2 linked regions of the Caenorhabditis elegans genome follow. The protein of the gene in region 1 purifies or fractionates together with the protein of each later gene. This does not show direct contact. Each region holds a gene or a part of one and is shown in the gene's direction. Other genes may lie near its edges.

The links. The genes of interacting proteins can lie anywhere in the genome.
Region 2: the proteins of jkk-1 (region 1) and unc-16 purify together in Caenorhabditis elegans (affinity purification with western blotting, with the first as the bait; one study listed by BioGRID). This does not show direct contact.

The regions. Positions count from the first base shown.
Region 1 is NC_003284.9:5,366,731-5,375,002, forward strand, and holds jkk-1 (Dual specificity mitogen-activated protein kinase kinase jkk-1), read left to right. Parts: upstream 1-1,737; 5' UTR 1,738-1,934; coding exon 1,935-1,968; intron 1,969-2,585; coding exon of another isoform or gene 2,586-2,605; intron 2,606-2,624; coding exon 2,625-2,732; intron 2,733-2,882; coding exon 2,883-2,963; intron 2,964-3,010; coding exon 3,011-3,121; intron 3,122-3,169; coding exon 3,170-3,282; intron 3,283-3,700; coding exon 3,701-3,817; intron 3,818-3,863; coding exon 3,864-4,019; intron 4,020-4,078; coding exon 4,079-4,243; intron 4,244-4,514; coding exon 4,515-4,676; intron 4,677-4,718; coding exon 4,719-4,811; intron 4,812-4,859; coding exon 4,860-4,919; intron 4,920-4,972; coding exon 4,973-5,080; 3' UTR 5,081-5,438; coding exon of another isoform or gene 5,439-5,552; 3' UTR 5,553-5,597; coding exon of another isoform or gene 5,598-5,696; 3' UTR 5,697-5,858; coding exon of another isoform or gene 5,859-5,895; 3' UTR 5,896-6,301; coding exon of another isoform or gene 6,302-6,331; intron 6,332-6,378; coding exon of another isoform or gene 6,379-7,006; 3' UTR 7,007-7,086; coding exon of another isoform or gene 7,087-7,304; intron 7,305-7,364; and 1 more. Other genes in the region: F35C8.5 (Cholesterol 25-hydroxylase-like protein), read left to right, coding at 315-404, 451-555, 598-843; F35C8.8 (uncharacterized protein), read right to left, coding at 2,586-2,605, 5,439-5,552, 5,598-5,696, 5,859-5,895. UniProt on the Caenorhabditis elegans protein: Dual specificity protein kinase which acts as an essential component of the JNK signal transduction pathway. May phosphorylate jnk-1.
Region 2 is NC_003281.10:9,544,096-9,549,415, forward strand, and holds the start of unc-16 (JNK-interacting protein), read left to right. Parts: upstream 1-2,199; 5' UTR 2,200-2,263; coding exon 2,264-2,329; intron 2,330-2,575; coding exon 2,576-2,704; intron 2,705-3,284; coding exon 3,285-3,564; intron 3,565-3,655; coding exon 3,656-3,836; intron 3,837-3,901; coding exon of another isoform or gene 3,902-3,958; intron 3,959-4,470; coding exon 4,471-4,592; intron 4,593-4,695; coding exon of another isoform or gene 4,696-4,726; intron 4,727-5,076; coding exon 5,077-5,245; intron 5,246-5,318; coding exon 5,319-5,320. Other genes in the region: eif-2Balpha (Translation initiation factor eIF2B subunit alpha), read left to right, coding at 34-186; ZK1098.9 (uncharacterized protein), read left to right, coding at 356-497, 862-983; ZK1098.12 (DUF2975 domain-containing protein), read left to right, coding at 1,147-1,179, 1,230-1,304, 1,348-1,449, 1,498-1,626, 1,675-1,773. UniProt on the Caenorhabditis elegans protein: The JNK-interacting protein (JIP) group of scaffold proteins selectively mediates JNK signaling by aggregating specific components of the MAPK cascade to form a functional JNK signaling module.

The DNA.
Region 1 (8,272 bases):
CTATTATTTGGTTATCCATGTATGCAAAGAGGTTTATTAAAATGTATATTTTGACGTCACATAATGCATTTTAGTTTATGCTATGACGTCATAATTTACATCAATGTTGATTTCTTCATTAGCAGCTTTTCTCTCACTTGAAATTAAGATTCGAAATAATTTTTTACCAACGTTAAGCACGTTTCAGTTTGAATTTCATAAAGCTATTACATATTTTTCAGCGATTCAAAAATTATATTATCAGTGGAATGAATCACTGATAGTCATAATTGTCCTATACACAAATCATGGTAATATCACTCAACATTTTGCAGGTAAAATGGCTCTACCGCTGGTGTCACTCTGTTCATCATATGTACTCATCCCCATTCGCAGCATCTGCACAACATCTTCACCCATTTGAGGTTTTTGAAAATTGAGATTTATAACTAAAATAGTAAGTTTTTTCAGCTGTTCTTTGTTGGAACATTCATCACCACTATCCCATGGATCTTCCCAACTCACTGCTTGACCTACTGGATTTGGTTCTTTATCGCCCAGAGCGTCTCTTATGAGGTATTAAAATTTGACCTTTAAAGTTGACAAAGTTGAATTCAGGTTCACATTGGATACGACTTCCCATTTGCTCTTCATCGCATTTTCTGGTTCTACTCGGGTGCTCCGGCTCATGACATGCACCATCTGAGACCACTGACATGTTTCCAACCGTGGTTCAACTATCTCGACAGACTCATGGGTTACCATATTACCTACGCCGATTTGAAAAAGATGACCGAGGCAAAATTCAAAAAGTTCGGGCTCTATTCAGCTGAAGACGAGAAAGGATTAATCAAAATTAACTAAGCCACGTACATGTATTACCCCGTAACGCAATAAACGAACTTTTTTTGCTGTTGAAATGTGCATGAGTGAGCAAGACTTTTTCGGAACTTTGTGTTTGCTCCCAGACAGACCGGAAAATGTGAAAGTAACTGAATCAGAAGAAATGTGGTATTGAAACGTGAGATCTTGCAAAAGGAACTAAGAACACGAGACTTGACCAAAAGTTCAAAAGGTTGCTTGAAATGTAAATAATTTTAAATCTGAAATATCCCCCACCAAAAGGGTTAACCTGTCCAAATTGTGGTAAATCTATTTTTTTTAATTGAATTTTGTTTTCATAGTCAAACAATCGTAATTCTGAAACGTGGCCAAAAATGTCTACAAGTTTTAAAACAAGCAACTGTGACTCAAACATTTGTTCGGAGTATTATTTTTAACCAGGTGAATCGTTTCTATTTGGAACCTCGAATCGTCTTCAACAGAACATGCTTCACCCAATTTTCTCGCTGATGAGATTTGTGCAGAGGCGCATGTCTGTGTGTCATCGTGTAACTTCTATTTGCCGGCACAAAGAAGATGAGCAACAAAAAGACCTCCTCCAAACTTGCCCCCATTCAAATCGCCCATTAGCGTTTAGCCTTTCTCTCTTATAGGACCACCCATTGAAGCTGCAAAGATTCACGCATCCCAAACGCGTCGAAATAGAGGATGATGGGGGGACCAATTGGAAATGAGACATGCGCGAGAAGAGAGAAAGAGCCGAAGAAAGGAGCAGTTCTTCCCGCATATTTTCACTAGTATGTGTGTGCATTTATAGCCTTCCCCCTTCTCCTTCTTCACGGCTCCTCCTCCACGATGTGGGTGATGAGAGCGAAGAGGGGCCAGACCGGGAGCCCCTGCGCTTCTTCGACTAGCATTGTGCATTCAGAATCGATAGCTGTGTGTGTCTTGCCATTTCGTCTACTACATTGGGCTAGTGGTGCTGCTGCTGCTGTCGCTGCCGCGAGGAACCTCACATACGTCTTCTTATTAAAATTTCGGAACGAGCGACGACGGCCAACGGGTCATTCTTTCATTCTTTTATTTTGTTGTCAACTCTACCTTGGTTTTAAATGGAGAATGTCTGTTTTCAGCAAAGATTACGAGGTAAACATATAATTTTTCATATATTTGTTTATTGTCGGCTGAGTACGTAGCAAAATATTCGTAGATTATGTATATTCCGTTTAGAATCTTTGATGAAAATTTAATGAACTGCAAAACAGGTCAACCAAGTTGCTGATTGCCAGAAAGTAGCCTTAGGTTCGGAAATCATCGGTTGTCGGCTGCCGAAAGTTTTATCGTTCGCCAACTTCGGCAACTTTCGATATTAATTTCAATTGTTTTGTAAATACGCATTCAAAGACCCTAAATATTGCGAATATCGTCACTGTAAATAAAACAATTATATTTTTTCCTCGAAAAACACTCTGAAATATGAGTTTAACAGAAATATATGTTTGAACAACGCCAAGGCCTCGGCAGCCGACGGTTGCCGGTTGCTGAAAATTTCAGCGATTGGCAAATTCGGTAACCGCTCATTGACTGATACCCAGATGATGCTGATGCAATTAATTTTCAACCTGTAACCTAAATTTTAGTGAAACAAGGTAGCCAACGAACTTATACCTCTTGATAAGAAAAGTACTTGGCTTCTCGGGCAATAGGTACCACAAAAACTACTAAAAATAACCAAAGTGTCAATCAGCGCCAAACACACAATCTCATTTCCTCCGTGTTGAGTCTGTAATAATTGATTTTAGATCTGGAGACGAGGGTGAGAAAATGGAAATTCTTGAAGTTGGGATTGACTGAGGTTCGGCTACGGCCGAGAGATCGCCGATCAACTTCGGTAGATCAAAAACATAAAGGTTTGTCTTGAAATATTGGTGTCTAGCCTTCAAATGGCATCATTATTCTTAAAATTCCATCTAATTATTCTTTGTGATGAGATCATCGGCTCAATTCCAAAAAACACGTATGTGTTGTCATTCTTAATTCCCTCAAATTTTGTTTTACAGAATGCTCTTCCACATCTTCAAGTCCTCAACACCAACGGCCGAATAACATTGGGTATTTAACAAGCCCCATGGAAAGAAAATGTGTGCCTGGAGAACGACCTTTAGTTATTACATACATACAATTTCAGTTACTCCGCTTTCCATGAAACCATCGCCATCCAGAAGAGATACTGAGAAAGATGCGTTGGAATACGAGTTTCTAGAAGGGTACAAGAAATCGGGAACATTAGAAATTGATGGTAAGACATACATCAAAGCTTTAATTTTTAAAATCTTTTTCCTATCAGGAGAAAAGCAAGTTGTCGACCCAAACGAGATTCACATCATCAGCCTGCTCGGAAGCGGCTCTTGTGGTGTAGTCGAATCTGCGACGGTTCGCTCAAAATTGATGGCTGTGAAGGTGAGCATTACCCCTCACACGGAGGCAGTGATGTATGGTTGAGATACACATCCGGACCACTTTGAATAGAATAAATCTTGCATGGCTCCAGTATGAACTCTTGAAAAAAGATTGACAGAATCGTTGCATACGCAATTCAAAAGAGAAGGGGTCCTTCACGGGTTATCATGCGGGGGCGAAAAATTGTAGTGGTGCTAAAGACCATTAGAAATTCCATTGTTTTCGTTTTTCTTGATTCAATTGTCAATGCAAAGCAAATGCGTTAGAGAGGAGGAGAGACCTCTAAAATTGGTGGAAAACAAATTTCAGTAAAAATTCTGAACCTCTTTCAATGTGAGAACAGTAGTTTGATAAATGCGACTCTAGAGAATACGTTGACACAGAATCATAACGGTTCCCTCAGCTTTGTCTTCTTCAGACTATGTACAAAAATGACAATAAGGAAAATTTGAAACGAATTCTTCGTGACGTCCGAATTATGTCAATGTGCAATTCTCCGTTCATTGTCACCAGTTACGGATATTTCATGTTTGATGTAAGTGTGACATTCTTATTAACATATCCAATTCCTCCATTTCCAGTCGTCTGTAAAAATTTGTATGCAAATCATGTCAGCGTGTTGTGAGAAGCTGCTGCGTCGCATTTATCATTCAAAATTGGATTTTTTCCCCGAGTTTGTGGCCGGTCACATCGTCTACTCGGCGATTAGTGCACTGGATTATCTCAAGGAAAAACATGTAAGAGATTAAAGAGAAACTGCTGTGCACAAACTAAACAACTAATTCCGGATTTTCAGTCGATTATACATCGCGATATAAAACCCTCGAATATCCTTTTTGATGACAGCGGCAATGTAAAGCTGTGTGATTTTGGGATAAGTGGATTTATGACTGATTCGATGGCTCATTCCAAAAGTGCAGGATGTCCGCCATATATGGCTCCTGAAAGATTAACTATCGAGGTATGAAATTGAATGTTGATCTGTGAACAAAAATGTGCCGGTGGCGGTGACGCCCTCCACGCGCCCGATTTTTCCCGCAACTTGCCCCGGTTCCCTGCTACTAGTTTCGGCTTGATCATGCTTGACATGTCAAAAAAAAAATTTTGAACTTTTTTTTTTGAAACATAATCTTGACCCGAAATGTGGGTCACGTCCCGATCGCAACAGTGAGCCGCGGGGCACTCCTGTTAATAGGTCTAAAAGTAAATAATGAAGTTTGAAAAAATTGCAGACGAATTCCAAATACGACGTTCGAAGCGATGTCTGGTCATTGGGAATCACTGTTTACCAACTTGTCACTGGACTCTACCCATTTCCACTAAATGACATGGAATTCACAACTCTCACCATTATTGCAAACCTGAATTTGCCATCACCAAGTCTGAGAGAAGAGGTTTCGGAATTTCCGTTACGTTTTCAATACGCTATGTTTCAGACAAAGCGAAGTTTTTCACCTCTATTCATTGAATTCTTGGACCTATGCTTGCGAAAGGATGTTCGAGAAAGACCTGAATATAGGCAATTAATGGTAAAATAATAGGTTGGAGAAATTTTTAAAACAAAGGTTTTTCTACAGAAGCATGATTTCTACCTTGATTACGACCCTGCCAGTGGAAGTGCTTACAAGTTCAAAGCTGTAAGTGTTTTTTTTTGCAAATTTTTCAGTACAAAAACTGACTGTAATTTCAGATCAATGGAAAATGCAATCAAGTTGCGGATTGGTTCGTCGACGTGATTCGACTTTCAAAAACCGAAGATGAATTGAAGTCGATCCCAAACACGCCTTGTGTCAACTAATTATTGAAGACTTTTAAGCAAATTATCACTTTCGTGTTCTCTCAGAAATTCTCATTCTTTTAAAATTGAAACGAGTCTGATATCATCACTGGTGCTCTTCTCTGCATAATATTTGTTTCTCGGTTGCTTCCAGTTCACTTTTTGAAGAAATTCTAGGTATGATTTAAAAAGAAATACTGGGTTTTTTAAACGAACAAACTAAAAATCTGTCCAAATGGACGAATATCGTAATAAAAGTTCTCAAAAAAATGTAAATTGTTTTAATGGCTGTTCTATTTTGCGAAGCATTGGTAGTTTAACGCATATCATTTTGCAAAATAAGGACCATTTAAAGTTTTCTAAGAAAGCAATAACCTACCGATTCTTGTCCACAAAATCCTTCGATCATCGGGGAAGCTCCTAGAATCTGGTTCAATTTTTGAGGAGGCTGCAAGCTTGTCAACTGGGCTTGCAACTGGGCTCCGGGATATTTCTGAAATTTGAAGTTTAAATTAAAATTTCATTTAGGACAACTTACTGATAATCCGTTTTTTTTTTAATTTTCTGTTCTTGTTTCTGTTCTGTTTCTGCTGCTCCTCACTTTCCGCTTTCCGACGACGTTCGTGGTGCAATTTCTCTAAAATTTTGATATATTTTTGCTTAAATTTTATCGATTTGTAAGTGACTTTCGAGTGTGGTACACTTTTTGCATCGCTAATCTGCCTTCGATACTTTGCTCACCTAATCTGAAAATTGGAAATTTAGAGCTTTTCAAAATAATTGTTATGAGATAACTTACGGAGTTGGCTGGAGGAAGAACTTGGTGATGAAGCCATACTGTGCGAAGTTTCTGAAAATCGAGAGTACGGTAAACTACGGTATAATTGGATTTTAAAAGAAAAAAAAAATCAAAAGTAAGTTTGCCACAAGAGCCGGATATGATAAAGTGGCACCAAGAGAAAGAGAGTGAGAGAGTGTGTAAAAGTAAGAGGGTGCTAGACGAGAAATACATAAACACAATAACACCTTCTATTTTGCCGCCACCGCCAAAAAAAGACGCTAACTGTACGCCTTCCGGTTGTCCGTGGGGCGGATTTGCAACAACATTTCTGAATAGTTTTTCTTGCTAGTTTTTTAAATTTTTTCTTACTTCTATTTTGATCAAATCTTGAAAATTTTCAATCTAGAAAGTTTTCTCACTTATTTTTCTTACAGTAATTATAACTTGCTATCAAGAGCACAATGCCTGCTGCTCCAAACTACAGTATTATGGTAACCAGCACCTACTTATCACAATTTCCAACTTTAAAACTTTCCAGACATTTACCCTTTGAAGGAAGCCACTCGAACTTGAAGGAATCCACTCAAAACTTTGATATCACCATTTTCGACCGCAAAAACTTTTTGCATTGAAGATGCAGTCGTAAGAACAACAGAATCCCAATTTCTGCTGAAGAAAAATGGAGAAAGAAACATCAATATAATGCAAATTACGAACAACGGAATCGCGACGAAAAGGCAGCGTTCGAAGGATTTCTTGTCGAAACAAGTGCGATCAAGGACAATTTGGAGCAATTGGTTCAAGAAGTTATGCCTGAAAATGTGGATCAGTTTGTAAAGAAATCGGTGACAGTTATGGAGACAATCCTGCAAAAAATCTCCAGACATAGAGGTGGATGTGAGATCTTAATTTGAGATCCACGTAAACTTCATGGACAAGTATCAAGAAGCCATGAACTACATATCTTGGCAGCACCAGCACGATTTTGTCATAGCCCAGGAGAAGCACAAAGACCTTCTACCTACCCAGGAAAGAACCTGGTCATCGTGGATTTGCATAGGGGAGAGAATTGCAAGGCAACAGCTGAAAATTGACTGCATCAAAAACTTGGAGAAAATTACAACGTTGATTGGGAAGAGGGACCTGCTTGAAGATTGCATGCCATCGTCAGTGGAAACATAGTCTTAGTCAAATTTCTGATTTTTTATTTTCAATCGCCCGAATCCTCCAATTTCTTGTTTTTCAGATCTGGATCAAATGCTCGAAATCTACACCATTTTCTTCAAGCTGATGTTGCAAAACTGCGGAGCCCGCCGACGCTGAGCTAGTCAACAAAATCGTCGAGCATTTTTCAAACAACTTTCCGCACCCAGAGAATCCTTCCGAACTTCCAACATTTGCGTCTACGTCTTGCTCGAGACTTGAAATCGCTCAACTTGCAGTAAAAGTTGTGAATAAAACGTGGTGAGAACGTGATGATAAATTAAAATCTAGAAAACTTTGAAAAATGCCAATTTTTTTCAGAACTTTTCTGGCTCACCACTCCACTTCCAAAATCAGCACATGCCATAGTTTTATAATTTATATATTTCTAGTCATTGTTTTAACTTGTTCAAATTTTATTTAAAATAAAGCTTCAGATAAATTGAAAATTGAATTTTTAAAAATTGAATTATTGCGGAACTGATTTCACATAAAAACTGAACTACATTTCCTTTTGAAATGTTAACTTCTGATTTTCCATTTTGGCAGAGATGAGTTCAGTACGCGTTTTCTGGAAGAGCTTCAGAGCATCTTAGAGTGCAGCTTATGAAAATACCTTGTAGTCTGGCAAATGAGGTTTGAAGGAATCACCTTTGGCATTCATTTCCATTCCTGCTCTGGAAACGGCTTCTTGTCAGCTCCGGAACTGATACAATCTCTCCGATGTCAGCTCTCCTGGAAGTGAGACAGAACGAGAAAAAATCGTTATTACTGTAGCGATGATATTCAAATTTTTATTTATTATAAACCACCTCAAAATGACGACAATTAGCAATTTTCGAACTATACTCAATCAATGAGCTTGTATCGAGAAACGGTAATCCCTTTTTAGAGAGATTAAAGAAAGAGCACAAGTATTCATCTATCTAGCGGCGAGGTACAAGCAATAATCCATGGGACACTTAAAAAAAAACGGAGGTCATCGCGATGCCCAAAAAAATTCAAACGCATACCCGTGGCACATACAAGATCTCTGCAAAAAAAGAGCCGTTTTTGGTGTTGTTTTTGGAACTCCTACATCGTCTATCAAAAAATTCGTTGTTTATCGATTACTCTTTGTTTGCACCCCATTCATATTGTCAACTGGTGACACCCAGTTTCTTATCAGTAACATTTTCTCCTCAAATGACTAGCAGAAATATGTTCTGTAATAATTTGGAATCACAAAA
Region 2 (5,320 bases), on another chromosome or scaffold:
CAAATAACTCAATCAGATCTTTCATTATTTCAGTATCGAACATCAGTAATTGAGAGAAACAACCTAGAATTGGAGCATCCCGATGTGGATTACACCGCACCCGAATTTCTGACACTGATCATTACTGATGTCGGCGCAATGAAGCCTGAAGCTGTTGGAGAAGAACTCATTAAAATGTATATCTGAGGGTAGAAATTTATTTGAACGTGTATTTAATTCAATCAAATTAAATTAATTTGTTCTTGTTTTGTTTTTTATAATTATGATTGGTTTTTTTCTTTTACAAAAATAAAAAATAACGTGGAACCCAAAACTATTCATTTCGAGTTTTTAAAAACGCTCATTCATCAAAAAGATGAGTGAAAAGCACTTTATTTTGCCATCTAGCATGCTAATGATAGTTTCGGCTGTCTTCGGAGGTATCGGAATCATCACTACAATCGTGTTCGTGATTCTGACAGTTCTTCATTCAAAAAGTGCGGTTTGTAAACCTGCAGGTTAGTTTTTGTTGCGAAATTGTGCAATTTTTACCCAGAAAGTACGGTTCCCGGTCTCGACGCTACAATTGTTAAATTCTGAAAGGTGTGTGCCTTTAAAGTGTACTGTACTTCGAATTTTTAGACTTTTATTAGTTTTTCGATATTTAAATATTTATTTATTTATCTGAAACTATGAAAAATCGATGCAAATTCCATAACAACGAAAATCTGAAATTACAGTACTCTTTAAAGGCGCACACCTCTTTGGATCTATCAAAAACTTTGCCGTATCGAGACCGGGTATCGTATTAGCATGACGAAAATCGCAAAATTATCTGGATAATATAGTAATGCTGAAGAATAAAAATTTGCACATTTTCAGGCAAAGAAGACATGAAAAAACTGAACGGTATCGAAGGAATGCAAACGATCAAAGAAGAATGTGGAGGATCAACTGAAACATCCTCGTCGAAACCGAAGAAAAAAGCCAAGAAAGAAGTCTGATTTTTTTTTTTTGAATAAATTTTAAATTTCTTCGTGAAGACCTTTTCTACGTTCTTTTAATTTATAAAATAGACAACACTTTTAACTTGATTTCCTACTCATTTCGTTAAATTCAAATCTAGCAAAAGGGTTATACGGTTACAAATCTTTGTAAAGTAGAAATATGCTTTTGAACAAACTCATTGTGGCAAATATTGTGAGTTTCTAGTTTTCAGCAGATTATTTGGGAATCTTCTTGGTTTTCAGATGATTAGTGTGACTGTTCTACTCCAGGGAACTATTCCAATGGGGTACGTATCTGGACTCGCGTCATTTTGGATGGTAAATTCTCATCTTAAAGACGTTCCTAACTCTACGTTTTCAGCTCTCAGCAGGTAGCGTTTTCCTCGTACTCGCAGTCATCACATTCATCGCTCTGTTGTTTTTGAGTCGATCTAAATGCATGTTGGCAATGAGCCAAAGAAAAGTAATTCCTAGTTTTAGAAAGTTATTTTACATTCTACAAAAATTTCAGTTGGCCATCTATCATGCTCCAGCACCAGTCACATCGTTGCTTTCGCTCATCTTCTTCATCGTGTACACATTCAGTGCCAAAGCTCCCCACGAGCATACAGCAATTAAAAACTGCATTGTGCTTCTGGATGTAAATTATATTAATCGACATGATTTTCTCTTTAATCCAACAATTCAGGTCGGAGTGGGAATTGTTCTGATGATTTCTCTGGTGCAAGTGCTTCTAGCGTTCCTGAGCCACCCGGAATATCCTGAGGAAGATAATGATGAACGTTGATTTATTTCGTAATAAACTGATTCTTTCGTATTTGTTTTTTCATTGTTTTAACACATGTTGTCACACTAAATTCGTGGTTTTGACGCAAAAATAGCCTAAGAAACACATAATTTTGATAGAGTTTATATAAAAATTCGTAATAGCGGCGCAAATTGAAATTCTATTCATGCAAAACTTCTAATGAAGTGTTTTTATTCTGAATTCAATAGAAAAATAAATTCTGAAGCGCAAAACGGCAAAACCCACTCGACATGCGTGTAGTGCGTGACGCACAAAACGCTCCTCTTCCGCCAATTACCGTATTCTCTCATCCACGAGATTCACACATGCGCCCAGCCTTCTTTTATTGATTTTCTGTCGCCGCGGCGAAGGAGTGGCACTTTATTTACATAGCTTTTTTCATTGCAAAGCACAAAAGCAACATAATTTGTAGAATTGTCTCGTCAACTTGCTCTCACATGGACCAATAATCGACAGAACGACTGAAAAAATGGCTTGCAATTTGTCACCGGTGAATGAGATGGCAGACTCAATTACGAGCAGCACACCGTCTGAGGTAAGTGGTGGCAAATGAACCATTGTTGCAACCGAGTGGCAGCAGCAGCGTCTCCCGATAGTTATCTCGGTTCTCTTATCGTCGCCCCCTACTACTATTCCTCGGCCAGTAAATACCGTTATGTTTCTCTTCCGCACTTCTCTCTTCATTATTGATTGTCGCTAGACACAACAAAACAGTTGGGACGGGTAATAGGAGGATTTTTTTATGCTGCATTCGATATTGATGGGAGAAATGTTATCTCAGATTGTGTACGGCGGCCCCGGCTCACCAGATGAGCATCGAACAATGTCGGATAAAGTGCAGACAATGGCTTCGGCAATTTATCGAGAGTTGGAAACAATGATAAAAGTTCACGGAGAAGATGGCGTGAAAGTGAGTTTTTTCGGAATTTTACTTTAAAATTTATTTAAATGGCTGTTTTCGCAAAAAATGTCCCAAAACAACCGGATTTCATAATAAGACTGATGGTTTTGAAAAAAAAAACGCTTTCTTTCTTCTGAAATCTTCAATTTTGCCAACTTTTCCGTGTCGCAACGGCCGGAAATGAATTTTTATTGAGCATCATTTCGATCTTGCTTATTTTTAGTTGCCTATCGCTTCAAATGTACCAAACTCAACGAAGTAACACGAGATAAACGACAAAATAAGCGAAAATCGAATGAAAATAAATTTCCGACCGCTGTGGCACGGAAAAATATGCAAAATTGTAGATTTTAGCTCATAGTTAAATATTTTTCAAAACATAGAATCGTCATAATTAATTGAAGAACTTTTAAATGATATTTTTACGAAATTCGGACTTTTTAGACCATTTTTTGATCAGAAATTGAAATTCTATGTTTTTACTCTACTTCAATACTAAATTCAGTATGTTAAACCAGTCAGCAGGTAAATTTATGCTAATTTTCTTCTCTCTTTCTCTATTATCATTCAATAAACTAAACATTTTCAGACTCTGATGCCATTGGTTGTAAATGTGCTCGAAGCATTGGATCTTGCCTATTTGGAACGTGACGAGCAGACTGCAGAACTTGAAATGCTCAAAGAGGACAATGAACAGCTTCAGACACAATATGAACGTGAAAAAGCACTTCGAAAGCAGACAGAACAGAAATATATTGAAATAGAAGACACGTTGATTGGTCAGAATAAAGAGTTGGACAAAAAGATAGAGTCACTTGAATCAATAATGAGGATGCTCGAGTTGAAAGCCAAAAATGCCACTGATCACGGTTAGTTTGTTACAGTTAGTTAATTGTCACCTCAATTATTAACTCTTGTGTTTTTCTTGGATAAATTTTTAAAAAAAGTATTATTTTTCAGCCAGTCGTCTGGAAGAACGTGAAGTGGAACAAAAGCTCGAATTCGATCGTCTCCACGAACGATATAATACTCTATTACGAACCCATGTAGATCACATGGAACGTACAAAATATCTAATGGGAAGTGAAAAATTCGAATTAATGCAGAATATGCCATTGCCAAATATGCAACTTCGAAACAAGTAAGTTTAATTTAATTAAATTTAAAAAAGTGATTAATATTTGACTGTTGTGTCGTTGTTTGTAGTTGGTTTCCAATATCACATCGCTTACATAAGAGTGGTGATCAAAGTAATTTGTCATTGTGAGTTTTGTGTCTGGAATTTTTGTTATTTTTCGGGAAGGTTTTTTTATTTTTCAAATTTTTGATTTTTTTTCGATTTGGTTATCCTCCACTTCACTCCAAATTTTGAAGCGCATGAAGAAATAAAAATCACCAATTTTTTTGAATTTATTTTATTTTCTTGATTTTCCAAATTTTTTATCACTGCTCTAAATGTCAGAAAAGAGATCATAATTACTGTTTAAAAAAATTTTCTAAATTTTTATGTTTTCTCCAATTTTGCAAAAAATGCGATATTTGTTGTTAAATTCCCGCAAACGATATAGATCTTTGAAAATGCTTCAATTATATTTATTGTTTAAAAAAATTGTATAAATTCGCTCATTACGATATACAATTTAAAGCAAAATTCCCAATTTTATCATTTTCCAAAAAGAATTTTGTTAGGCAAACACTTCTTCCACCTTTAATAACTTGGTTCGGTCCCCTAAAATCAAAATTTTAATTTTTAAAAGATATTATTTAAATTACAGAATGGGCATGGCTGCTTCTGTGGATGCATCATCAATTCGTGGAGTATCTGATCTTATTTCTGCTCATATGACACAATCAACCACGATGGATGTTAATCTTGCAAATCACATCACAAACGAAGGTGAGTTTTTTACGCGACCCTTCACAAATATGTAAAAATACAAAAAATTCTATATATCGCAAAATTTAGTTTATTTATTTATTTCCGATAATTTTTAACTAACATGAACTCGAATCCTCAACTAACCTTTATTGGTATGCCAGTTTTCTTCCGATTTCCATGCTGCAAAGGTGCGGCACGGGTTTTCGCAACCGCCGCGCGTTTTTTTAAAACTTTTTTTAACAGGAAATTTCCAACGGATTTTTTTCTGTAAATTCACTTATTTTCCAACTGCATTGGTTTATTGCTCAATTTTTAGACCTTTTTGGCTTAAATAAACCAGTTCAGTTGGAAAGAAATTTTAAATTTCCCATTAAAAAACCATTTTTAATTGTATTCCGTACGATGTTTCCTGTTGAAAAGTGAAAAAAAACCCGCTCCGCACCTTTTCTCAATGGAAATTGCAACCCTCATTCTTTTAAATCTTAAAATACTAATTTTCCAGACTGGCAAGACGAATTCTCATCAGATATCGAACCATCACCCAGGGATATTCCACAATCATCTGCTGATGCGTTGACTTCACCAATTACAACCAAAGAGCCGACTCCTAAACGAGAAGCTGCTTCACCGAAACAATCAGAAGAGGAAGAAGCTGACGAGACAACTTCTGTGTAAGTTAATTATGATTTTAAAATTTTATTAGGAATTTATATAAGAGTTTTGAAATCTATTCCAATTTTTCAGAG